Astyanax mexicanus: one gene and its partner. The protein of the gene in region 2 interacts with the protein of the main gene of each other region in a pairwise test. Links are inferred from orthologs where the notes say so. Each region holds a gene or a part of one and is shown on either strand. Other genes may lie near its edges. The genes, in order: elk4 and srfb.

The links.
Region 1: the proteins of srfb (region 2) and elk4 interact in a two-hybrid assay, tested with the Homo sapiens proteins (2 studies listed by BioGRID and IntAct). The link is inferred for Astyanax mexicanus from reciprocal best matches to the Homo sapiens genes SRF and ELK4.

What each region holds. Positions count from the first base shown.
Region 1 is NC_064431.1:6,342,892-6,355,484, reverse strand, and holds the start of elk4 (ETS domain-containing protein Elk-4), read right to left. Parts: upstream 5,475-12,593; 5' UTR 4,853-5,474; intron 1-4,852. Other genes in the region: si:ch211-117k10.3 (Krueppel-like factor 15), read right to left, coding at 11,835-12,003. UniProt on the Homo sapiens protein: Involved in both transcriptional activation and repression. Interaction with SIRT7 leads to recruitment and stabilization of SIRT7 at promoters, followed by deacetylation of histone H3 at 'Lys-18' (H3K18Ac) and subsequent transcription repression.
Region 2 is NC_064414.1:39,386,943-39,399,771, forward strand, and holds the start of srfb (serum response factor b), read left to right. Parts: upstream 1-6,657; 5' UTR 6,658-7,149; coding exon 7,150-7,773; intron 7,774-12,829. UniProt on the Homo sapiens protein: SRF is a transcription factor that binds to the serum response element (SRE), a short sequence of dyad symmetry located 300 bp to the 5' of the site of transcription initiation of some genes (such as FOS).

The DNA of each region.
Region 1 (12,593 bases), on a different chromosome or scaffold from region 2:
AGTGCTAGAAGCTTGCAGCCTTGTTGCTGTGTCTGTGTGAGTAAGCGGCTTAAAGAAAAACCAAATCGGCCTGGACTCGCCCCATACGCTCAGCTGGAAGCCGCACACAAACAGAGAGAGTCTCCCACACACCGTCTGACGGAGATACAACACATAAAAATAGCAGTGCTGAAACTGAGACAGAACAGTACAAGACTGAGCTGGAGAGCGGCCAGAATTGTAGAAAAATATAACCCTATATTGAACATCACTAATATACTGAGCATTAGTGCACTAGCCACTGACATGGAAACTGTGGGATGATGCCAACACATTTCAATAGTGCTGGTATATACTGTATACATACAGTGCTGGGAAGCAAAATATGTAAATGTAGAAGGTAGGGGTGGGCGATATGGCTCTAAAATAACATCACGATATTTTAGGGTATTTTTGCGATAACGATATACTTGGCGATATAGGAAAACTAAAATAATTCATTCATTTCAGAAGTATAGTATAATAGTATAACAGTATAATCATAATGTGGCAAAATAAATAATATAGCATAAAATAATATAATGCAGCAAATAATATTGCAGAATATTAAGTGCATGCATATATACTGCAAACTAAAACAGTTATACAATAAATACACCTAAAGCTTCACAGTAAATAATAGACTACTTTTAAGACAGAACAGCCCTATTATCACGATATGGATTTTTAATATCATGATATTTCTGTGTCACGATATATTGTATACGATATAATATTGCGCACCCCTAGTAGAAGGTTCTGATATTTAGTGAGAACATATGTAAGCTGTTGTGTTTGGTCATTTGGTGACCATGGTTAGAGTGAGAGAGCAGCCATTAACCCTTAAATTTCTCCTTTGGGGTTTCAGTACAAGAACGAAGCTTGTTGATGAGATGGGAAACCATATTATTGTAAATAGTAACGGTGAATTTCGCACTACCCCCCTCCAACCGGTCGCATGTGGGCATGACAAAGGCGTTCCCTGCGTCGTCCAATTAAATCATTTTAATAAATGGGAAATGCTTTTTATATAAGCTATTATTATTTCCAATAATTAATAACTATAAATGTGTCTTTATAGATATAAATGTTTGAATGAGCTTTATTACACTGTCTAGTGAACAGTATATAAGCTGAAAAAAGCAAACTTTTCCAATTAAATTACATATTAACATTTTAAAAGCCCACCAGAGACCCCAACAATCACAGCAGCCTTTCTCCTCGCTGACAGAGTCCCTGTGAATCAGCAGGGATTTTATAAAGCACAGGGAAGCCTGAAAGGCTTCTCTGGACGCTTGAAAGCGGAACTAAAATGTTTTCATGCGCTGCGCTGAGGACGCGTTACAGGCCAACACCTGCTCTCTGATTGGATAGACGCATTGCGTTGGACGGACTCATTTGCATAAAGTTCAGCTCGGCTCAACTTTTCATCGCATCCCCCGCTCTCGACGCGTCGGACCCATGATGCACCGCGCAACTGCGTCTGACGGAGGCGGCGCTTCCCATTGAAAATGAATGGGATCCGTCGCTGTGCGTTGTCGCGTCGGAGCAGTGTAAATTCACCGTAAGAACATACTGCAACTTTCAGATATATTTCTCCAACATAGCTTAGTTCCAAACTGGCACTGACCAAAAAAAATATTTTGTGAATTATCATGTGTGGCGTTTAGACGCTCTGTGAATCTGTTCACAAATCAATGATTCAAAACAACACTGTTTACAAGCCCATGCGTTGATATCATACTCTGACCTCATGTACACACAGCCACGGAGAAACTGAGTCCGTCACCGTAAAACCGAAATCCTGGATAGGCCTATATGGAGATATTTGGAGTGCATTATTAGTATTATGACATTCTGGATCATTTACTTCAGTTACAAATCTGATAAAATTCTTGTATTATTTTAATCTCTTAGTTCTCTCAGTGTGCCATATCATATCACAGGCAAGAATAACATTTAATTTTCATTTATTTGCAGTAGTGTATGCTTTTTTTTCTTCTTCAGTTTTTTTCATATCGCCAAGAGTATCGTTATCGCGAAAATACCATGAAATATTGTGATATTATTTTAGGGCCATATCACTCAACCCTATACAGCACTGCTGCTGGACAACCAAAAACAAACAGTGGTGTTCTAAAACTTTGACTGGTAGTGACCCTTATAGTATGCAGTTGCACACATCTTAAGCCAAAAACATGACAAAGCATAATGGATTTAAATAAGTTCTGATACACAAACCTCATAAACTGGGAAGTGAAAGCAAGATCCTCTTGGGACATTCATTGTTTACAAACTGTATCAAACTCTTATTAAAAAAGTGAACTTCAGTCTGTCACTGCAGCTTAAAAATAATTTTAAAAAAAATAACAGCCTCTGACAAACGTACAATGGCTTTTGTGCAATTCGTCAAACACAAACATGCTCATAAATTTAAAATATGAGAGGAATTCGGCCCAGACAGTAGAAGAGAGGATGGCATCTCCTCACCCCTCCCTCAGACAGAGTCCTGCATAACATTACTTCAACATGTGGGTGGAGATATAAGCCTCAAACAGACACTGCTGAGAGAAACTGGTGTAACAAAATGTGTCAGAAGAGCAAAGATCACTTGTTAGCTGTCTGTCTTTACAAGCTGAGAAAAAATAAGACACTTCCATTAGTTTTATATAAATGAGAAACATATCATGCACCTCCAGTAACCCAGACAGAAAAAGGAATACCAGTTAGTCTGTAAATATTTTTGGCAATATAGTGTATCTTGTATCTATACTTACATAATCAGTGGAATTAGTTTTAGTAAACATATTAGGGCCACAACATATCTAATTTCAGCATCAACATCACAATCTGGATGTACACAATCACAAGATGCACAGTACATGACCACTTTTCAGAATGTGCAAAATCATGCATGACAATTTAAATTGAACATGAAAACTTTATACAAATTCTAATTCACGCCAAAAGTCTCATTTTGGTGCATTTACTAATTATTAATATTGTGACATGCTGGATCATTGACTTTTAAAGACCACAGTCTGTATTTATGATTATACAAAGCTGGTATGAAATGTAGGCCATAAGCTGATATAATCAGTATTTTTATATATATGATTTTTTTTATTATTATTACCTCAAGCAAATTCAGCAAAGAAAATTTTACATCATTCCACATGGCCTTATAGGTTGGATTACACCAATATATTATTATCAACAATATATTAATACATCATGTCTTTTCAAATGAATCTCTAGTGCCATGCCTACCATCTTTTTCTTGTGGCACCATAAATGTAGAATATTTTACAGAAGGCCTCTTTTTTCATTATTTACCCCATTGTTCTCCCCAATTTAGCTAGGCCAACTGTCGCAGCCACTGTAGCTGCTATTCAGCTATATATCCCCTCATTACAAGTGATGCCACAACCTAAGGAGGGTAAAGACATGCATCCTCAGACACATGCATGCCTCTTTTAGAACTGCTGCTGATGCAGCATTGAACGAGTAGCATCACAGCGTGCTCAGAGGAAAGCGCAGTGACTTGGTTGTGATACATCAGCTCACAGACACCTTGTGCTGATCAACATCACCCTAGGAGCAAGGCCACTTGTGCTCCCTCAGGGCTCAGGCAGCTGATGGCAAGCTGCATGACCGGGATTCTAACTAGCAATCTCCCAATCACATGGCAGCGCTTAGACCGCTGGACCACTCTGTGCCCAGAAGGCATCATATGTGACACAGATACACAGTTTGTGTAGCAGTGTAAACAGCAAAAACACACAAAATCTGACATTTTAAAATCCGATCTGTTACTGAAATATGACACATATTCGATACATTGCAACGCAAAGCTAATTGGCCAGATTACAATTTGTGTCACTTTTACGGCAGAATGAAAGCAAAAGACTGTGAGTACAGTGAAAATGGCCAGGAGTAGATTTGAGGGCTTTGGTGGCAGAAAAAAAGGAGGTAACATTTCATAAACATTTGGACTGATATTTCTGTTTCAATAATATTAGATTAATTGTGTAGCAGCCGTACAGTGCTCCTAATGAATTGGCTACAGATCGTGGCTGCTGCATTTTTACAGAGAATGTATATATATACAGCCCTGGGAAAAAAATAAAAGACCACTTAATGATGCTGTTTTTCCTGGATTTTACCAAATTAAAGTTATACAAAAGCAGTGTGTAAGACGCGTGGAGGAGAACATGCCAAGATGCATGAAAACTGTAATTAAAAACCAGGGTTATTCCACCAAATATGGATTTCTGAACTCTTAAAACACATTTCTGGATTTCTGAACTAAAACACATTTAACTGTTAGCAGGGAAGACCTAAAATACTCCAGACTTCAGATTAAAACTGGAATTGTGCAGAAACAAGCACAAAACAATGCAGTAAGCTTGTTTTTACCAACATTTTAGTTAACTAACTAGCTATAACAGATTATTTATGTAGTTAACTGGTTAGCTAGCGTAGCTAATGTTCTAACCTATTTAGCCAGTTTAGCTAACATTAGCAGCATTAGCCTGCTAACCTACTCCATTCTGTAACGTTACAATACAGCAAACTCTTGTCAGTTAGCATTAATTTAACGCTAAATTTCTAGTTATAGACTTAACGCACAGCCCTGAAAAGGTTTTCGAACAATTCATACAAAACCCACAGAACAGCTAGCGTTAGCATGCTAGCCTAACCATATCAAAAGAAGCTTAGCTTAGCCTGTAAGCTAACGCCTGCTAGCCACCTTTCCAGCTAGCCTGTCAGCAGCTCACAGTGCAGTACAGTACAGTAGTTGGGAACACTGCAGTCAGTCATTCGCGCTTACCTCCCAGATTAAATCCATCCACGAATATAGAATTTATCGCGATTTAACGCGTAAAACAGCCGCTGGTCAGTCATATAGACCAGAGAACAGCACTAAACCCAGCAGAGTTACTGCTAATCCCACCCCAGTGCAGTGTTTTGTGCTGCAAAAAAAACAGGAAGTTAAACTCTCTCACTCTCTCTCGCGCTCTATATCTCTCCATCAGTCTCTCTCTCTTTCTTTCTCTTTATCTCGCGCTCTTTCTCTCTGTCTGTGTCGCCATCTCTTTCTTGCTCTCTCTCTCTCTTTCTGTCTCTCTGTTGCTTTCTGTCTGTTGTCTCTGTCTGTCTCTCTCTCTTCATCAGGCTCTCTCTATCTCTGTCTGTCTCTTTATCTCGCTCACTGTCTCTCCATCAGCCTCCGTCTCTCTGTCTGTCGCTCTCTTTCTCGGTCTCTCTGTCTGTCTGTTGTTCTACCTCGCTTTCTCTGTCTCTCTCTCGTGCTCCATCTGTCTGTCTCTATCTCTCTCTGTCCCTTGCTCTCTCTGTCTTTCTAACTTGCTCTCTTCTTTTGGGCTCTCTCTCTTTCTGTCTTTCTCTCTGTCTGTCTCTACCTTTTTTTTCTCTATGCCTGTCTGTCTGTATCTTTATCTCTGTCTGTCCCTTTCTTTCTATGTCGTTCTCTCTCTCTTTGTCTTTCTATCTTGTTCTCTTCTTCTGTCGGGCTCTCTCTCTTTCTGTCTCTCTCCCTGTCTGTCTCTACCTTTCTCTATGCCTGTCTGTCTCTCTCTCTCCCTGTTGTAAACCACCTTACTACACTTATGCAAAAATAAAGAAGTGATTTTGAGATTTTAAGGCCCATTTACAACTTTCTGGAAAAGTTGTGAAATTTGCACAGTGCGCTGGTTAAAAAAAATCAATAATTTATTTATATTTATAAACTATTTTTTTAACTTAAGTTTTTCAGGAAACGTCAAAATCATATGACAATTATGTTAAAAACTCTTCACACAATAACAAAACAGTCCTAGGTAAGTGTTCTGTTTGAACTACTAAAATAATAGTACAACTATTATTTGAGTTGGGTTGGTGATCCAAGCTGGCTGCACTGCACATCAACAGTAGTAAAAGCAGTAGTTTTACACTGTGTATTGTCACTTTAACTTATTTGTGTGTCATTAAAAAATCTGTTGTACACACAGTACTGTACTATGTCTATCTATTGACATGTTTCCATGGTGTTTGGATGTGCAAAACACTGGATAATGCATTGTTATCAAATGATATTACAAAAAAGGGCCTATTTCAGCCAGAAAAAAACTGCAAAAAACTTCAAAGTAAACCGAATGGATTAAGTTTACTCTGTAGACACTTTTAAGGCAGTTTTTCCTTTTAAATTTAATTTTTGCACATCATTTTAGCAAAAATTACCCTGGTGACACTTAAAAACTTGTGAAAGCTGTATTTTAAAAAATGATAGTCTATTTCTTTAATGTATTTCCCTGTTTTAACAGAACATCCAACCTACAGTAACCTCCGAATTCCCAACCTGCCAGTTACACTCAGACACGCCTTCCAAACCCTCTCCAGCTCTCAAAAATCAACCACAGAGAGCCAGACATTCCTGTCGTACAGGCGCTCCAGCTTCAATAAGCCACGCTAAGATTCCTTTCCCACATGCTTTACAGCCACATTACTGATCCAGCAGTTTGGAAAGACCAGCAAATAACAGAAAAACACAGAAATAGACAAAACCCAACACAGGCTTGTAAACAGGGGACTGTATTTTACATTCTGAACTGCAGTTAGCTTATGCCAGTCATCTCAGATCACTTACAAAACCTGTTCATCCATGAAACAACCCCAGCGCTGTGTAAAAGACAGATTTGCAATGGCTTAAGATTAATCCAAAACAACATCATGGATGCCAAGTTAGCTTCTCAGCCAATTGTTTCTTATTGTTTTATTGTTGTACATAGGAAAATAGCATTTTTTTGTTTCTCAGTTATTCAAAAATATAACCTACACGTCTCCAGCTATACAGTCGAGCAGCTACATTGGATTGCTTTGAAAAAGGAAAAGTATTAATATGTTAATGAATTTCCTGTTAAGGCAGATGACAGGAGGGCTGGGGTATGGATGGGGGTGGGGTTTTGGAGATCAATCTCTTTACAGCACACTTCTCTTCCAAAAAAAAACAAGAGAACACGTAGGGGAAAAACACTGAAACATTGTCAACCAATCAAAAGAATCAGGAGACCAAAATAAGCACCTTTACATTAGTGGGCTTTTTTCAAACACAGCCTGTTCCACACTGTGAAACATTTTTTTTCTATGTAATATCCAGGTTACCATGTAACAGGTGAGTGTGATTACTATGTAACAGTTTAATCTGGTTACCAAGTAACAGATGAATTCATTTACCATGTAACAGGTGAATCCGGTTACTATGTAACAGGTGAATTTGGTTACAATGTAACGTTAATATAATTACAATGTAACAGATGAATTCAGTTACTATGTTACAAATTGATCCTGTTATTATGTTACTATGTAAAAGATTAATTCATTCATAGTTACTATCTAACAGATGAATCAAGTTACTATGTAACAGGTTAATCTGGTTACCATGTAACAGATGAATTCAGTTACCAAGTAACATGCAAATTCAATTACTATGTAACAGGTTAATCTGGTTACTATCTAACAGATGAATCAAGTTACTATGTAACAAGTTAATCTGGTTACCATGTAACAGATGAATTCAGTTACCAAGTAACATGCAAATTCAATTACTATGTAACAGGTTAATCTGAATTCAGTTACTAAGAAATATCCACATTCAATGACCATAATATGAATTCTGTTATTATGTAACAGGTTAACCTGGTTACTACGTAACAACTGAATTCAGTTACCAAGTAAATTCAAATGCAATTCTTATTAATATGTAACTGGTTAAGCCAGTTACTATGTAACAGATGAATTCAGTTACTATGTAACAACGGAAATCAGTTACCAAGTAACATGCAAAATCAATTACTTTGTAACAGATTAAGCTGGTTACCATGTAACAGGAAAAATCAGTTACAAAGTAACATGTGAATTCAGTTACTGTGTAACAGGTTAAGCCGGTTGCTACATAACAGGTGAGGTTTGCGGTCAAAACAGGAAGGGAATGGCAATTATTCATGATTATTACCAATAGCGTTCTTATACAAATCCACAGAAAGACTGAATTGTCAAAAATAAAAGAACAATTTAAGGGCCGTCGTTCATGAAGCTTCTCAGAGTAGGAACGCTGATCTAGGGTCTTGTTAATAAGAGCTAATTCTGATTCTAAGTCACGTCAGAAGTTTGTACTTTTGGAGATCGGACGTATAACAATAATTACTTACTAACAGCATTTTTAGTCAGTTTAGCTCAGAGTCTTTCTGCTCTTTTTTTTAAAAATAATTTTCACCCACTCTTCACTTCTAAGTGCTTCTAGTTCTGCAATATTTTTAGACTGCTCCCACCCACAGGTTTTGAATGATGTTAAAGTCAGGCGACTGTGAAGGTCGTTCTAAAAGCCTGTGCTGCTTGTAGATCATTCTTTATGAGAAAAAGGACAGAAGGTCAGAAGGTTCATAAAACTTGTTGAAATTCTTCCTTAAATTGTTGGTACTTCAAATGCATTAAGTACAACAGTGTGTAGATGTAACTGTTTTATATAGCACCAGAGGGCAGACCATAGAACACTGACCATAAAGAACATCTGAGCTGACCTAATGTAAACATGACCTGTGTTCTGAATTGCTCCCTATTACAGAAATAGTGCACTATATGGTTACTTTGTGGCTATATGGCCCCAGAATTGCACATTTAATTAGCAGGTCAAGCTGCTTCAGCATCAGCAGCCGGAGCCCGAGAGAGCACAATTAACCATGCTCCCACTGGCTGGGTCCTAGTGATGTAAGATTTACTATCAGCTCAATTTTCTGACCAAGAACTGAAAATCATATGAAAAACTTGCATCAAATATTGAAAAAAAGAAACAGGTTTTCATCTATTTTTTTTTTATTTTCTAGCTTCATTTCTGGCTTTCTCAAACAGTATTTATAAAATTATTAAATATGTATCTTCTCTTGAAGCAAATATCTGATGGGTCGGTGTATGTAGTATCCAAATGATAATCATTAAATGTAAAATCAGAAAATGAAAAAGGGAAAAACTTTTTTCTCTTTGATTTTGCAGTTTGAATGAGACCCTTTTTTCCCCACATTTGAAGCCAATTAACAAAGGCAAGGCAATTCAGGGCACACTAAAGCAGTAAAATTCTACTTTTAATTTTAACGTTTACAATATAAAATATGTATAATATACACAATATACAATAAAAAAAAAACCAAAAGATTTTCTGCCATTTTTTTTTGACAGTTGTTTAGAGATACAAGACACAGCCAGACACTGCATTAAATTATTATCATCCTACTGCATTAATGTGCCGTGAATTGCCTTAAAATTGTCCTGGTGAGTGGGTGGTTGGGTAGGTGGGTTAACCCCTAGAATCTTATATTTATTATCTATTCATTGATCCCACAGGGTTCAATTTTGGGTCTCCTTTTGTTAAAGGAGATAACTGGTATGAAATGGACTCTGGTTGAAGTAAAACCTCATAATGAGTACCATGCGGTTACCTCGTGTTTACCCCTGACCCCCCCTCCCCCCTTCTCAGGCAGCAGCACTCACACAAACACAGAGACAGAGCTGTGCATCGTGATGATGATGCTTAAACGATATATAGTGCAGCCCTAATATAAAACATGTCTACAAGCAGGGTCTAAGGTGTTAACTGGTTCTGCTAATTTGGGTGAATAAATAAAAAGTAAAAAGTTAGCTGCACAGGGTGCTTTTTTTCATATTTACACCTCCAAAAATCAAAATCTTCAAAATACTTTTGTTGGTTATGATGGTGAATTTTGTACTGTGACGTCTCTTAATAAGCAACAAATAAGCAAGAAATCGAATCCTAGATCAGTACGCCTACTCTCTGAGAAGCTTTATGAATATGAGCCCAGTTACATATTCAAAAAACACATAAAGCATAAAGGCAAGATGGCAGAAAACTTCCAGAAAGAAAACAAAACAAAAAAAAAGGGAGTACAGGTGTAGAAATCATTCAGCTGGATAAACTTTCATTCTTTAACCAGCGCTGTGACTTTCTGAATGAATGAGCCGTTTCCCCTCCCCAGTGAAGAAAACTCACTGACAGTCACCCGGATAAAGAAGAGATGGCGAGTAACAGTCTCTGATGATTCATTACTCTTTCACACAGCGACCCATAGCTTCATATCGACGAGACAATCAACAATCAGCTGCCCCCTTCTGAATCAGGACATTACGGCAGTAGGCTGTCCTCCTGAACGTAGCTTATTGAGTGAAGTGCACCATGTATTCATTGTTAATGCATTGATCAGAAGCAAAAGCACACTATGATAATGTAAGGAAGCAGCTTTTCTTTTCAAAGGAAACGATACTTTACATGGAGAAAGAACAAAACTGCTCCTAGCTTATAGGTCTGTATTACAGTACGTGTATATACGTATATATATATTTATACGATGATGACGACGATGATGATAATGATGATGAGCAACTTTGTCCATAAACATAGTGAAGTCACTCACCCAAAGTCCCAGAGATAACAAACGTATGTATGTATGTAAGGGAGCTCTGGTTTGGCATAGCCTCTCTCGACCGAGTGAGAGAGAGATGTGTATATACTTATATTGTATATACATATTTAACGAGGCACAGGAGAAAAGTTGGAAGATACTCAACGTGAGAATATCTTCTGGTTCAATCAGGGATGTGATTGGGCCAAGAAAACGTCCTTTACAGATTAGTAGCATTTTCGTAGGTACTTCCTACTTCAGTACAAAACAAAAAAAGAAAATGAGAGAAATATGAATATGAATATGTAAATAATATGTAGAGTAATACATAGGTGTAACGACAATCACACTGGACTTTGTCTTGATTGAACTGTTCAGAGGGCGGTACTCCGCAGAGTACACTAAGTGCTATAAAACTGATACTATTCCACGACAGTCGAGATATTTTTGCATTTTAATTGCATTATTTTGCATTAAAAGCTCACGTTATATGAGTGCATATTGCCACAATCTAAAAAGGCGGGGGATCTTCATCTTGGCTTCACCATGAAACAACATGATAGTCTATTAATAATTATTATTATTATTATTATTATTATTATTATTATTTTCTACATTGGTCTTTATTTATTATTATTTACGGCAGTCTTGAGACTATAATCGCCCTATAATCGCTTAACCTTAATTCAGCTCATGTCTGTGCTACCTCCTGCCCAAACCATTAACTTGAGACTTGACTTGATAATAAACTACTAATACTACTTACTATACATACTATTCCCGTCTGAACAGACTTACTTAAGGGAATACTCGCAAAATACAGACATTTAGCACCCAAATGTAGCACTTAATCTCTCCAAATCTTTAATTTTGCATTGGATTGCCTTCAAAACCCTCCTAATCTCTTCTTTTTTGTGAAATTAAGTGAAAAGTCAATACAAAAACAAATCTCAAACCTCAGCTGACCTACATTAGCTTCCATAACAAAACCTCCCGCAACTTTCACCCCCGCTGAACGGAGAACGGAGCAATTAGCTAAGCTTCAGCTGGGCCTGGGCCTGAGCCTAGCGGATCACCAGAAATCTGCTTTGAGCTGAACAATCACATCCCTGAGATTCGACTTAGCTTAGTGTAGCACCAAGAAAAGCAAACATCTGGATAAACTATAAAATGAAAAAAAAAAAGGAGGCGGGAAAAAAGGTAAGGGAAGACTGCAGTCAGTTTAGATCTTCTAACTCTCTGCTTGTTAGCCAGTTAGCCTGTTAGCCTCCGAGCTCCAGGTCTGCTGTGGGTGGGTGAGTTGGTGTGTAAGTGTGGGTAGGGGTGGGGTCAGGAGGTCCTGGCGCTTCAGAAGTTGGTTCTGATTAGTCTGCTGGTGCGCGGGCTCCTGTGCACCTTGGTGTGTTTGGATAAGTGGTCGCTCCTGGCGAATTTCTTGTCGCACATGGTGCACTCGTAAGGCTTGACTCCGGAGTGAGAGCGACGGTGGCGGGACAATTCATCAGACCGCGAGAACCTGCAGCAGCAGATCAAAACACGATAAAAGACATAAGAATTCTAATAAAACATAGCAACATAGCACAAAAACAAGGAAATATGTGTTTTATATATTTGGTATTCCTTTGTAGTAACAATGCTAATTGGCAATGAATCTTATATTGTAGGAAAGCCTGTTAAATTCCAATTTGTAACAGCATCGGATTGTGGCAGCACCTGAGCGGCAGCACTTGTGAGCATGAGCTCTGCCACAGTGGCCACTGTAGCACTGTAGGTGTGTGCTCAAAGAATCTGCATCATGCCACGTTTGACTGATCTGGATACAACCCATGCGACAGTGCTTCAACTTCAAGCTGGTGTTCCGCAAAACCAAGTTACATTGGCATTCTTCGAAGTACCAGCTCTAAGTTGAAGGCCAAGTTCCATATAACAGGGGATGTCAAAACCTTAGGGCTGCAACGATTAATCATTTAAATTAATTTAAAACAAAGCGTTAAAATAGTCATCACTACATTTCTAAAATTCTCTCACTAAATTGTCCTAGAGCCTGCTAGAGTAGTTAAACAAGCTGTTTCCCATTCTTAGTAAATGTGCAGCTCAGGGAAAATT
Region 2 (12,829 bases):
GAAAACACTGGTGTGCAACTGACTGATTAAAACACTGACAACAATCAGTCGTTCAATAGTCCTACACACACGGTGCAGCACACAAATCCAACTTTTACATCAACAAAAAACAGAATAAACAGAAATAATTATAATATTGCTGTTCCTCTAAACGACCTTCTTGCAGCTTTTCACAGTGTGAATGCTCGGTTTCCTCTGCTGAGTCAGGCAAGGTGTAGTTTTTCTGTTGTTACGACAGCAAAGACACTGACGCACAAGCTGCGCAGTGCATGGTTGACGGCTCACCAAGAGATTGCCAAGCAAAGGTGAGTGAAATAAGAATGCGTAGCTCCTTTTTCCCAACGAGTCTCCTCCTCTCTGTGGCCTGCAAACTGATTTCGTGACGCGATCTTGCCACCTGTCTAAATACCGGAAGAGGCAAAAGAAGACGCTTAAAATCCTCATCGAAAAGGCTTCCAAAGGAGGATAGACCACAGTATCCTACCCAGGAAATGTTTTTAAAATTTTGGAGTGACAACACTATGGTCACGCCCACAAAGCACCTAGTACACATTTTATTTCAAGTTAAATTATTTATTAATTCATTTTTTTTTTACTTTTGTATGTCAAGAAATAATACAACTGTATAAAACACTTACATGACTGCAGAACATCTATCATTACTTTTTTATGAACAAATAAAAATATATATATATATCAATTTAATAAATATAAACAATAAGGCTTCCACTTTTATTTGATTGGCAAATATTTCACATAATTTCAGAAATGTAGTGTTTTCTCTGCAATAAACCGGAGTACAATTGTACAAATAACAGGAAGACCATATATTTGCCTGACTGTTTTCAGCAGCTGTGATTGGCTGGGCAGTCTTGGGGGAGCTGAAAGCGAGCGTTTTGATTGGCTCAGTTAATAGTCAAGTAGTCATATTAAAAGGGATCCGCTGTCCCATTTTTCCAATTACTCAATCACTGCTCCTTCTCTCCATTCCTCCTCCTTTCCTAAATTAATCTTCTTCCGGGGTAGGAGAGGAGTAGCTAAGTTTGTGGAAAGAGGAGAAATGAGGATGAGAAAAGTTAAAGAAAGTCAAGTCCCTTTAAAGTCAACGCATAATAATGTAAAAAGCTCACAGAGCGGCAGTAATGTCTTACAATTAAAGCACTAAATTACAGCGCGAGACTGAGAACCAGGTGGAAACTGAAGCTGATGAGGAAGCGCGTGATGGTGATGATGAAGAGTCAGCGAGGGAATTTCACCAGAGGAGGAAGTGGAGCCGCATCTAACAGCAGGTCAGGCATAGGCCTTTTATTAACTCCTCTCATAGCCTCACAGCTTCTATTAACTAGGTTCATCCAAAAGTTTAAGGAGGGGACATGTTTTTAGTGCTGGGCGGTATGACCAAAAATGTATATCACGGTATTCTGACGGTTTTATAGTATAACACGGTATCTGTATTATTAATATTGTGGCGTGGAAGAGGAAGGAAGACCCGTGAAACTCATGCTGAACGCTCAACAGCTCCTTTAAAGACCAGGCTTGCCACTCACTTACAGCCTTTAACAAAACTAGGAGAGCTAAACCCATTACCCCACAGAGCTCCAACAGCCCAAAGGCCACCAACCCAGCTGTGTGTCTCCCAGATGGCAGATCCAGAGTGGTGCCCACCCTCTCTGCATAACCCCTCCCAAGGGAGATGCCCCACCCCTGTCATCCTCGCACACAGGAGAACAGAACCATGCCTACAGGCAGCCACACACACAACCCAGAGCCGCCACAATATTATATATTTTGCATATCTAGGCTCTTATAAAGGCTTTGGTTAATACTAAGTTTAACTTGTCCCAAAAAATTACACAATATATGAAGAAATTAGACTTTATTAGCAGAAAAACATCTAAGGAATGTAAACAATAGACCTTAAAAAGAGATGCCAACAACTTTAACACAACTTCCTGTTTAAACTGAAATATTTAAATCGTTACTTAAACACTATAAACAGACATAAATACTCAATGTTTATATATTCAAAAGATGTATTTCTTCAAAGCTCTATTGCACAAGTTAGACTCGTTTAATATCAATTTACAATATGCTATTATAAAGCTATTGAAGGCATTGCAGTATTAAAATCAGCCACAATTATCTTCTTTCTTTAGTTAACAAATAAATGAAATTCAATGTACATTAAAATTGTCCTTCAAGCTACAGCATTAATTTATTTTAAAGGGTCTCTTTTCTGAGTGAATAATTGCTGTTTGCTGTTGTTTTTCTATTGTACCGCCCACCACTAATGTATCTTTATCTTCTCTTTCTAATTTGCTTAATTCTAAATAAGCTACCGGTACAAACAAACTTCGCTGTTGTTAAAAGGCTGATTTTTATTAAAGTTGATTTGTATCATAATCAATCACAGCAGCGTTGTTTGTGTAATTTCTTAATAGACTAGTTTTAGGCCTGTTTTTGAGGGTTAATATATACCCTAACAAAAGTGCAGCATATAAAACAAATGAAAAACATATAAAGCAGGCTAATTTTTACACGGAATAGACCTAAGAGAAATTCTGATTTCACCTGACACCCTATTTCAAGCTCATTTCAAATCGTTTTTTTTTTTTTGTCTTTTTTGTATCAAATGCTGTAATCAACCAAAGTTGGCTGATCACAAGAGTTTAAAAAATGTAATTGAGGTTTAAAAACAGGTTTAAGGTCTGGTGTTCCAAAAAGAATAACAATAATAAAAAAAACTCAACTTTTTAATGTCAATCAAGCATATTTCGATTAGATGACAGACATGATGTTATTGAGTAACAATTTAATAAAAACCCAATTTATTAACTAAAAATATTGCCTTTCAACACATTTTCTCTCTTTTCCAGACATGTGCCAGTGCGCAGTGTGAAGGGTTTTCCTAGATCCCATCACATACTGTGTGTGTGTGTGTGTGTGTGTGTATAAAACAACAATAGCCCCCAGACAGCTGGCGAGCCTATTTAGAGGAAAAAGTCCAGTGCTGTTTTATGGTCCCAGTCCATCCCTATATCTCTATTACTGGTAAAACAATTTGGATTTGAACACTAGAACCAGATACATGACTGCTGCATTGCTCTGATCTGATCAGTAGAGGGCGCTATATTGTGTGAGCTGGATTGTGTCCTGTCCGGGGTTGTTAGGCTAATCAGTGGATATTAGGCTCCTAATCAACTATTCAGTTGTTTTTGTCAAGTCTCCAAAATCACTAATGCTTTACTGTGGAATGCTTTTAGTGCTTTATTTGGACATAGCCGGTTTCATACTAGCTGCAGCTGGAGGCAGGACCTCCTTCATTATTATTGCACTTATATCACAGGCTCTCTTCATGTGACATTATCTGGTTCCCACCATAAAAGGCTGGTCGTGTGCTCGACAGCTTTTACTCCTGCTGTCAGCTGAGTCATCAGTAGGTGTTCTTTGCTGATGTGGGAGCGCTTCGTGAGTCCTACGTCTTTTGCCGTGAAAAGACATCCAGCCGTGTGCTCTCACACTCAGCACTTCAAGTGTTCCTCCCTCTCACCTAAGACTGAATAATGCATTTTGTGTTAGGTCTGTCTTTTGTTCTCTGTTAATGCGGCCTTGCCTTTCTTTTATTTCACCGTGCAGGGTGTACAATCAGAAGGATGTTCAAGCTTCCTTTTAAGGCTTTTGCATGTGGAATAAATGTTAATAAAATATAGATTACATTAAGACGCACATATAAGCTATATATTTAACCATCATGTTTTTGGGGGTCATAAAATCTTGTCACTTATCTGACAAATTTTAGTTTTTTTTTTTTTTTTTAATAGCAGCATATTATTTTTTTAGTTATGCAAGATGACCAGCTTAGATCCTGACCAGCATAGGGTGTATTTTTGTTTAAAGTTGATGGTTAACTGGTCTACAATCTGATGGTCTTAGTCTTGGTCAACCAGCATAGTTAAGCTTGCTCTTTCTGGTTGTCTAACTGTATATCCCTGACCAAAATCAAAGGCATCATACACTGTGCTGATCAAATGCTGAATTACCACCTTGTTAATTATCATAGTGAATGTTTTACCTGTCTGATCAGCTTTTCAGTTCAGCAAACACACCCTGATCGTTAGCAGAATTGTTCAGCAGGGATGCCTCAATGCTAAGAACATTAAATCTGCCATGGATTAATTTTTTATGTATGTTAATTTGTTATTTGATGTAAAAATAGTAGCTAAATATATGTCTTTGTTTGGGATGAAACATGCTCAGATGTGGTTTAAATGGCCATTAAAACCCTGTTCTTTTCTCAAAATTAGTCACACTGATTTTCTTTTTTCAGAGGACTCAAAAAAAAAAGATGAGTTCTGCTTTAATTGGCAGGTTTACAGCACACTGGAGCCACAGAGAGTAGACACAGAGTAGCATAGCTTTGTTTTTAGGTAAATACAGTTTTCCAGTCTAGTGCATCTTTAATGAACCCCTCCAGTATGAAAATTGCCTTCAATCAATTAAAATAAATGTCAGGGTGATTTGCTTGTTTACTCACTGCTGCACAAGCTTGTTAGTATTCTAATGTGGGCTAATGACTTAAGTAGGTATATAATTGTTGTGGTTATTTATAAGTGTTGGATAAAAATTTAATGAGTGGTGATAAAATGAGTCCAGTATAGGCCATTACAAGATGTTTTGGTCTGCTTTACACCGAGCCTGCCCTGTCACTTCACATTCAAAATAGGGGTTTTGAGTGAGTTTTTTTGTTTTTCTTTTGTTTTGAGAGGCAAAAAGATATACATTAATTTACAGCACTAAATCAAGTCTCTTAATCAAGTATTCCATGAATTTTGCACTCCACTTTTGTAGCTGTTATCTTAACCTACTGCATCTTTATAACAGTTACCATGGGAACTAGATGCACTACTGCTGTAGTCTATTGGAGTTGTGTCAAAGGTTGTGAAAGTGCACAGATAGCATGTTATGTTTGCAAATCATGTTGGGCCAGGTACGTTTTGGCCTGATGTTAGATGTCAATTGGTGCTTAATGGTGGACCAACTTAAGTGTGATATTGGGTGTCAACCAATGTATCATGGTAGGCGTGATGATAGGTGGCGTGATGATAGGTGCCAACTAGTGCTTGATGGTGAACATACATTGGTGTGAATTTGGGTGTGATAAGTGGGCTTGTGTCATCCGGTGTGTTTAATGGTGGGCCTATGTTGGCTTTATCATTGGGTTTATCATTATTGATGAACTATAGACGGGTGTCAATCGGTGTTTGACTGTGTGCTTACTTTGGCTGTAAACCTGTTTGATGGTCAGCTTATGTTGGCCTGATGTTGGCTTCAGAAAGTGCAATCTAATACCTACCAAATGTATATAACTGATTATTAAAAAATGGGTAATATATACAGAACCAGAACCAAGCATTCTCATTAATATTTGTTCTTTATTAACATTATTTACTACATTGAAGATTAATATTAAAGACTTAAACTATGAAGGAACACACACGCAATTGGGTAGTAGACAGTTCCCATTCCAGGTTGTACCCCATTAAGTGGACTGTGAGAATAATAATAATAATAATAATAATAATAATAATAATAATAATAATAATAATAATAATTATCATAATTGCATATGTGTTCCTTTATAGATTTGATGTCTTCAATTTTAATCTACAATGTAGAAAATAATACAAATAAAGAAAAACATTAAATGAGAAAGTCCAAACATTTGACTGGTACTGTAATTGGTGACTAAGCATACTAAATAAACAATTAATAAAAAGTTACAATATATTACTATAATATATTTTTGCCTATTCGTGAGTTTAAATAATCTTTAGTGGCTATTCAAAATCACAGATGCACTTCACATATACAATTAAGTGGTTGTTAGTAGGCCTGTCACAACAATACATCATTGACTTATTGTTCAATAAATGGACAAAACCTTTGACAATGGTGTATCGTTTATTTGTGTTTGTTGACCTATAAAATAGTATTGTAATTCAATGACCAATGCTTCAATAACTGTGACTGAAAAAAGTATATATTTTCCAAACTATGATTTAAATGACATTTTTTGTCGTATTGCTGTGTTATTCTATTATATTATCATTATGGCAGTGAGATTTCAATTGTCTTAAAATGTCAGTAATGTTGTTTCTCGTTATAACGTCTGGGACAATATATTGTCCACAACAATTATTGTGGCAGGCCTAGTTATTAAAAAAAAGACCCATAAAATGAACTTGCTGAAAATTGTCTTTATTATATTGGCATGGGGGTTACAAAAAATACTTGTGTGTTAAATTGTTAGAAATTGCAATTTTGTTCTCTGGATGAGCTTATTTACTTCACACTGCACGTGTGTGTCATTCATATTCCAAAATAATTTATGCCCAGCAGAGTAAGTGGGGTCTCCCTCCCTCTGCCTCCTCGATGACGTCGCCGTGAGCGCAACCGTTTTGGTATGTATTCAAATGAGCAAGGCGCTTTGACCAATGGCGTGCTGAGACTTACCCTCACGGACCAATCGGAGGGCGTCACTGTGACTCGCCAAATAAGGAGAGAGAACTCCTTATAAGGAAGCGTTGTATCTCTTTATATGGAGGAAAGTAGATCCGATAGCTCTGCACGGACAGATTCTTCCACAGCCGGAGAATAATATTAGAGAAATAAATGCATAAACGTTTACGGTTTTGCGTAAGAACGTGTGTTTTTAGGGGCGGTGGGACAGGCCTGTGAGGGTGGTGTGTTTAAGCGGCCCGCGGTCGACATTTTACAGGTTTGCGGTGTGAACTACATGACATGGCGGATTAATCGCGGGGGCGCGCTTCGTGTTTTCCTTTTAGAGAGAGTGCGCGGTGAGTTGTGGAAAGCGGGGGGGTGAGAGCGGCGCGAGGCTGTAGCGGGTTGAGGGGGTTTGGAGGGGCAGCATCAGTTTGGAAACTTCGCTCCGGCAGTCACTCAGGCTTTCCCGGCTCATTCCGAGAGAGTGAGGGGCTGTGCTGCTGCTGCGCTGCGTGTGTTTGTTTGGGTTTGTGTTGAATGTGCCCGCAGTACGGCTTGACCACACACTCGCCCACCGCAGACTGACTGACTGGGGTTCTGGTAGCTGTAGCGTTCGGTAGCGGTGTTTCTTTCCCCCGGTGTAGGATGTTATCCAGCCAGGCTGGCTCGGCGTTGAGTGGAAACGGGTCAGCGTCAGGGAACAGCGCGGCGGTGGTACACGGGGCTGTGGTGGTGGGCAGCAGCGGGCTTCGGCCGGGACTCGCGCGGACAGGCGCTCAGACTGTAGCCGGGGTGAACGTCGCTGCATTCGGAGGGGCTCCCGTGGGAATGCTGGGGGGAAACGGGCCCGGGAGAGGCGGCGTCAGAGCCGGGAACGGCGGTGGCGGCGGGCTCAGCGCACAGGTGGGCTTAGGGGCTCTGGGCGCAGGGTTAGTGGGGATCCCCGGTCGGTTTGACCGGGATAAAGAAGGGGGTCCACAGGGGTGCAGCGCCTCCGACGCGGACTCCGATTCTGGGGACGACGACGAACCCATGGCTGGAGACAGCCGGAGGGGGGTGAAGCGGGAAAGGGCCGAAATGGAAAGTGCCATGCCCGGCCAGGAGGCTGGCGTGCCCCCGGGGGGTTACGGTGTGGTGGCCGGCGGAGTTGCTGGAGCAAAGCCAGGCAAGAAAACACGTGGACGCGTTAAGATTAAGATGGAGTTCATAGACAACAAGTTGCGGCGATACACAACTTTCAGCAAAAGAAAGACGGGCATCATGAAAAAGGTGAGCTTTTCTGTTTGGACAGTTTCCCCATTTACACACCGAATGTCTTTATTTAGTAAGTAACTCACCCAACATCAGTGCAAGTTCTACTAGGAGTGTTGTTTAATTTTAATACATAATAACCTACATCATTCACCTGGGATCACGGATAACACGCACACGTGGGGCCTGAATGGGTAGGGAAATATCCCAACTGTAAACCAGAAACTTTGGTTTATGGGTTTCATGTTGGTCCCACATATAAATGTCAGTGTTGGGCCCCATCAGGGTCAAAGTTGAGACCCATGTAAGACTAAGTCTAAAGTGGGCAGTAATGATTTGGCTCATATGGGAAGCTCAACGGGGTCCCTGTAAAACCACATGCAATACAAACCACCCCATGCCTACCTAAAACCCACCTGTCCCGCCTTTCACCCATGTGAGCTCCACATGTGCTTGAAGTAGCAGTGCCCAAACAATAATGCATAACAAAATGCCCCAAAAACTGCTCAATTCATTCATATAACCTCTGTATATAACTATGGATGTAAACAAACTGTCTTAAAGAAAGTGACTTTTGGACTTTTGTCATTCCACTGCAATTTTTCTCATCTCTAATGTTTTCTCTCTCTCCCTCGCTTTCTGCTGTAATGAGGACTGCAGTATTGCATGTCCTCTCCTCTGGCACATGGTGACTGGAAGTCACAACAGACCCCACTGGCTGTGAGCTTTAAATAGATTAGAGCAACTGACATTCTCTATTTCTGACCACCGCCACCCTTCTTCAAAAAAACACACACACGCTCAGGGTTTGGCCTACATGAAGAGTATCCTTCATCAATGGAGCTTAACCCAAATATTTCAGAATGCAATTTCGGAATAGTTGCCATTGCATTGTTCCTCGTATGTGCTTTGGCAAGGTATGGCTGGAGTTTAGTCTCTGACTAGCCTGTTAGAACATTAATCCATACACAGTTACTTACTTCTAAGAAAAATAAAGCTCTAGGGCTTTAAGAAACAAGGGAAATTGAAGGCCATATTTCAGTATATTGCAGGTGACCTGTGCAGGCTCACTGTAACAGGTCATTGGCTCAGTACCAATACACTGAAGATAACTCCACATCTGCTTTCTTTCCCATAGGCCTGGTATGGGTCAGGGGACTGATCTGTGATTGGACACTCCTTCAAGTGTATTACACTATAAACAAGAAACTTGCTCAGTCTACATCAGTACATATACCATGGAATGGTACAGTGAGTGCAGTGAAATTAGTGGAAGTTATTTAGAATAGGCAATAGCTAAAACAGTAAAATGCATACATAGAAAAAAGAACACAATTTTGTTTAATCATTCATTTGCCTGTCTAATTAAGATTTTTTTAAATCCACATGTGGGCCACGTGTGAGAAGCATGGCCCAGTGGGCATGCAACCCCTTTCTCAAGAGTAGGCTATAGAAATGTTATTATTATTATTATTATTATTATTATTATTATTATTATTATTATTAATAAATTATATTAAACCACCACTTAGCCCTCTACCAGATCTCCTGCCTTTTACTATGGCTGTTTCTCAAGAGCACTTTGCATACTGAATGAATAAAGACACTTTAAAATGTAAGTCCCTTGTATTGGATGTGCTGATAGTAATAAGATTGTAAGTAAAAGTAGATTTTAAGTAAAAACTGTTGAAGTGTTGCAGTACTCTTGTTATGTTTATGGTATAGAATAAGTTTAAACTTTCCATTGTTTTTGTTAATAATCTTTATCTTATAGATGCAGAGATGCTAAGATTTGACCAATATATCAAATGGAATTTTAATAATCATTTTGTAAGCTTCTGTAAACAAGTGTTACATTCCTTTGTAAATGTTTATCAGCAATTTTAATACAGCAGCACAAATGTACACAAAGTACAGTATGTTCAGTCCAGTACTGTGCACTTTTAGGCAAAAAATACAATTCTGTATACAATACAATACTGTTTCTAAAGCACCTTTCAAGAAAGTGTATTGCTTTGGTTATTCAGTGCTTTTATTACATTATTTTATTTAAAATACTTTTAAATAGTGATCATTAAATAATACTTAGGCTACTTTTTATTGCTGTGAATATGATCGAATGCACTTGGGTACATGTTTAAGTGCTCCGGAGGGTCCTATTCTGTTGACAGTACTTTTCTACAGGGACGGAACAAGCTGTGTGTGCATTAGCACATCTGTTTCATCTGTGCAAATGAAAACTAGCTGCAAATGAAAGCAGCTAAAAGTAGAAGGGATGTCCACAAACCTTTTGGACATAAAGTGTATATTACTCCGTCTGTTGGTCTGAAAAAAGCTTTGCAAAATTCTGTAAAAGGAATAACAGCAAATATCTGAAAACACAGAACCCATGTGGGTGCATTCTCAGTCCTAAGTGCTTTCCCTTTATATTGGCCTTTTGCTGTGGTCTTAATGACCTGTAGCAGATGATCACCTGTCCTCGTTCTTCTGGTCAGTGTGTCAGTTAGCACCTCTTTCTGCATGCTGCATGGTGACAGCTGTCTGAAGGGGTTGCTGATGTCAGAGCAGAAGAGTTCAGGAATGCAGTGTTCCCACTGTATGATGCTCATAACCACTTGAATGTTACTGCGTGCTCTCCTCTCTCCAGCAGCCAACTGCAGGCCTCACACAGTCTGATAAGCCTATTTGTTCTGGAGTCACAGTCTAATTCAGAATATTACTCCATTGCATTTTTATTAATGCCTATATCCACAATTACTGCAAAAATGTGTTTTGAAACATACTGGTAAAATAAATAATTGTTAATCTGCTCTTAACCAGAAAGCTGGTTGACGGCTCAGGAGAGCAGGCCTTTTAGGCCATTGGTTTGCTGGAAACAAATGTACAAACATGTTACAGTTGTGGGATGTTTACATTTTTTCTTTACATATTTATCAGTAATAAATGCAGCTCTGTAAACTGACCTTTGTTCTGGTGATGGCGATGCAGCACATGGCTGCCTGTACATTCAGGTAATGTGTACAGTTGTGTACAGCATGCCGATGCTTCTAAGTTTTCTTGCTGAAAGCCAGAACTGTGCGCAGCTTTAGCATTCCTGCACAACCATCAACACATAAATTCAGCTTCAGCAGAAATAAAAAATAAAAAATAAAGGTTATCTTCCAACAGCAGGAATATCAAGACAGAGAAAGCTTCTTCTTTTTTTAATGGCATGTCTGCTGGCTCATAATCCTGCATCTTTTTATTGTGGAAACAAAGGAGAGTTTATGTACGTGTTTAATCACTGGCCAACTGAGCTAAAGTCTTCAGTACAATCAATTTTTTTTCCCTTTCTTTTTTTCAAAAACAGCAACAGATTGGAACGCAGCATCCACAGTCTCAGACTCTCTGCTTTTGTGTGGGCTGAAGACTGTAGGATGTGCCTTATGATACCAATTTGCACATTTCTTTGGTTGGTAATCTTGAAGCACACTTTCAGGTAGTGCAATTTTAAGATTGGGAGATGAAGTAATTTTCTGCCTTTGAGCAGAATCTACATGGACCAAACACTATCCTCATTGCTCCTCACACTGTAACCTTGCCCCTGCAATTTTGCACAGTAATGATGCTGTGTCCAGGCAACCGTCTCTCCCTCTTCCAGAGACACTGGTGTGATCCTGACATTTTGATGCAGCACATCCTTTTAGCATGCAGGGTTATGAGTAGATAGTAGAAAGTAGTAGTAGTAGTAAGAGAGTAGTAGTAAAAAGTAGCAGGTTTTCAATTTAAATGTTTCCATAGGCTACTGTAATGAGTCTGTGTATGTATTCATACAAAGCATTTGCACTATAAAGCCACCTTATTATGAATGTGGTGTTTGCAGTTCAGAGATGCTGGGCAGGCCAAGTAGAGGCCCACCTTATGAGGGCTACAATATCAAGATCTAGGAGTGCAAACTCAACAGACAATTGCGGGAGAGCTGTGCAGAGCCATTTTACAGACCAGTTTTAGATACACGATATATAGATGTCTAAAGCAACCTTTTGAAAAGCTGTGTGTGATTTTCTTCCTCTATCTTGTGTAAAAAAAGGTTCTTTTTACAATATTTTTGGCAATATTTGTGTAATTATTGAATTAATAAAAAAAAAAAATCCCAAAATTTGCAAAAACGTAAATTCTTATGGCAAAGTGATATGGTTAGATGATCTTGATTGAATGTTTATATTTTAAACATTTTCACAATACACTATTTATTGCAATATAATTCAATATGTACTGAATGTCATCCAGTTAAACAGTAGTAGTTACACATTTAAACTGTTCGGTGTCCTAAAAGTAAGGAGAGCTTTTGTTGTTTTCACTTAAGGTAGAACAAGCCTCAGATTCTAGATATTCTGGTTCTAGATGAAACGGCTATTGCTGTGAAAAGAACAAAAATGAAGCAAAAATCCAAATGAACTCCATATATGTAGCTTTCTTTAGGAAATCAGTAACCATAAGCAAAGCTGTTGGATCGGTCATTCAGTCAGTTGAATGAAACGGGTATAAATCTGAAAGGACAACCTCAGATTTCTTCTCTTCCATTATCTATCTATTTTAAGCAAGCAAAGCATTTGTCTTAGCAATAGCTATTGCCTCCCGCTGCAGGGGCTTCAGAGAGGGATGAGTTCTGACCAGGGCTGCTGACAGTCAGTTTAAAATCTAGATTTATTGTGACAGGGGCAGCGTTTTAATTTCCTGATACATTCATTATGACACTGACCAAATTCAGGTGCATGACTTCAAGTAGTGTGTATCTTTCTCTCTCTCTCTTTAGCTATATTGGTTTTGTAAACAGCTCAACATCCAACAGTTCAATTATTCATAGCTCTTAAGAAAAGGGAGACATCGAACCTAATCAGATACCAGTGTTAATTTACTGTCACCAGGTGTCTATAAAACTCAAGCCAAATTGGCAACCGTACAACAAAGACTTAGATACAGTGGAATGTGTTTCTTAAGCATTTTAAGTTGTTCTTCAGTCTAAAAATAGTATGCCCAGATGTGGTTTTATGAACCTATTTACAACCCTGTTCTTTTGTGTTGGAGGAAAAGG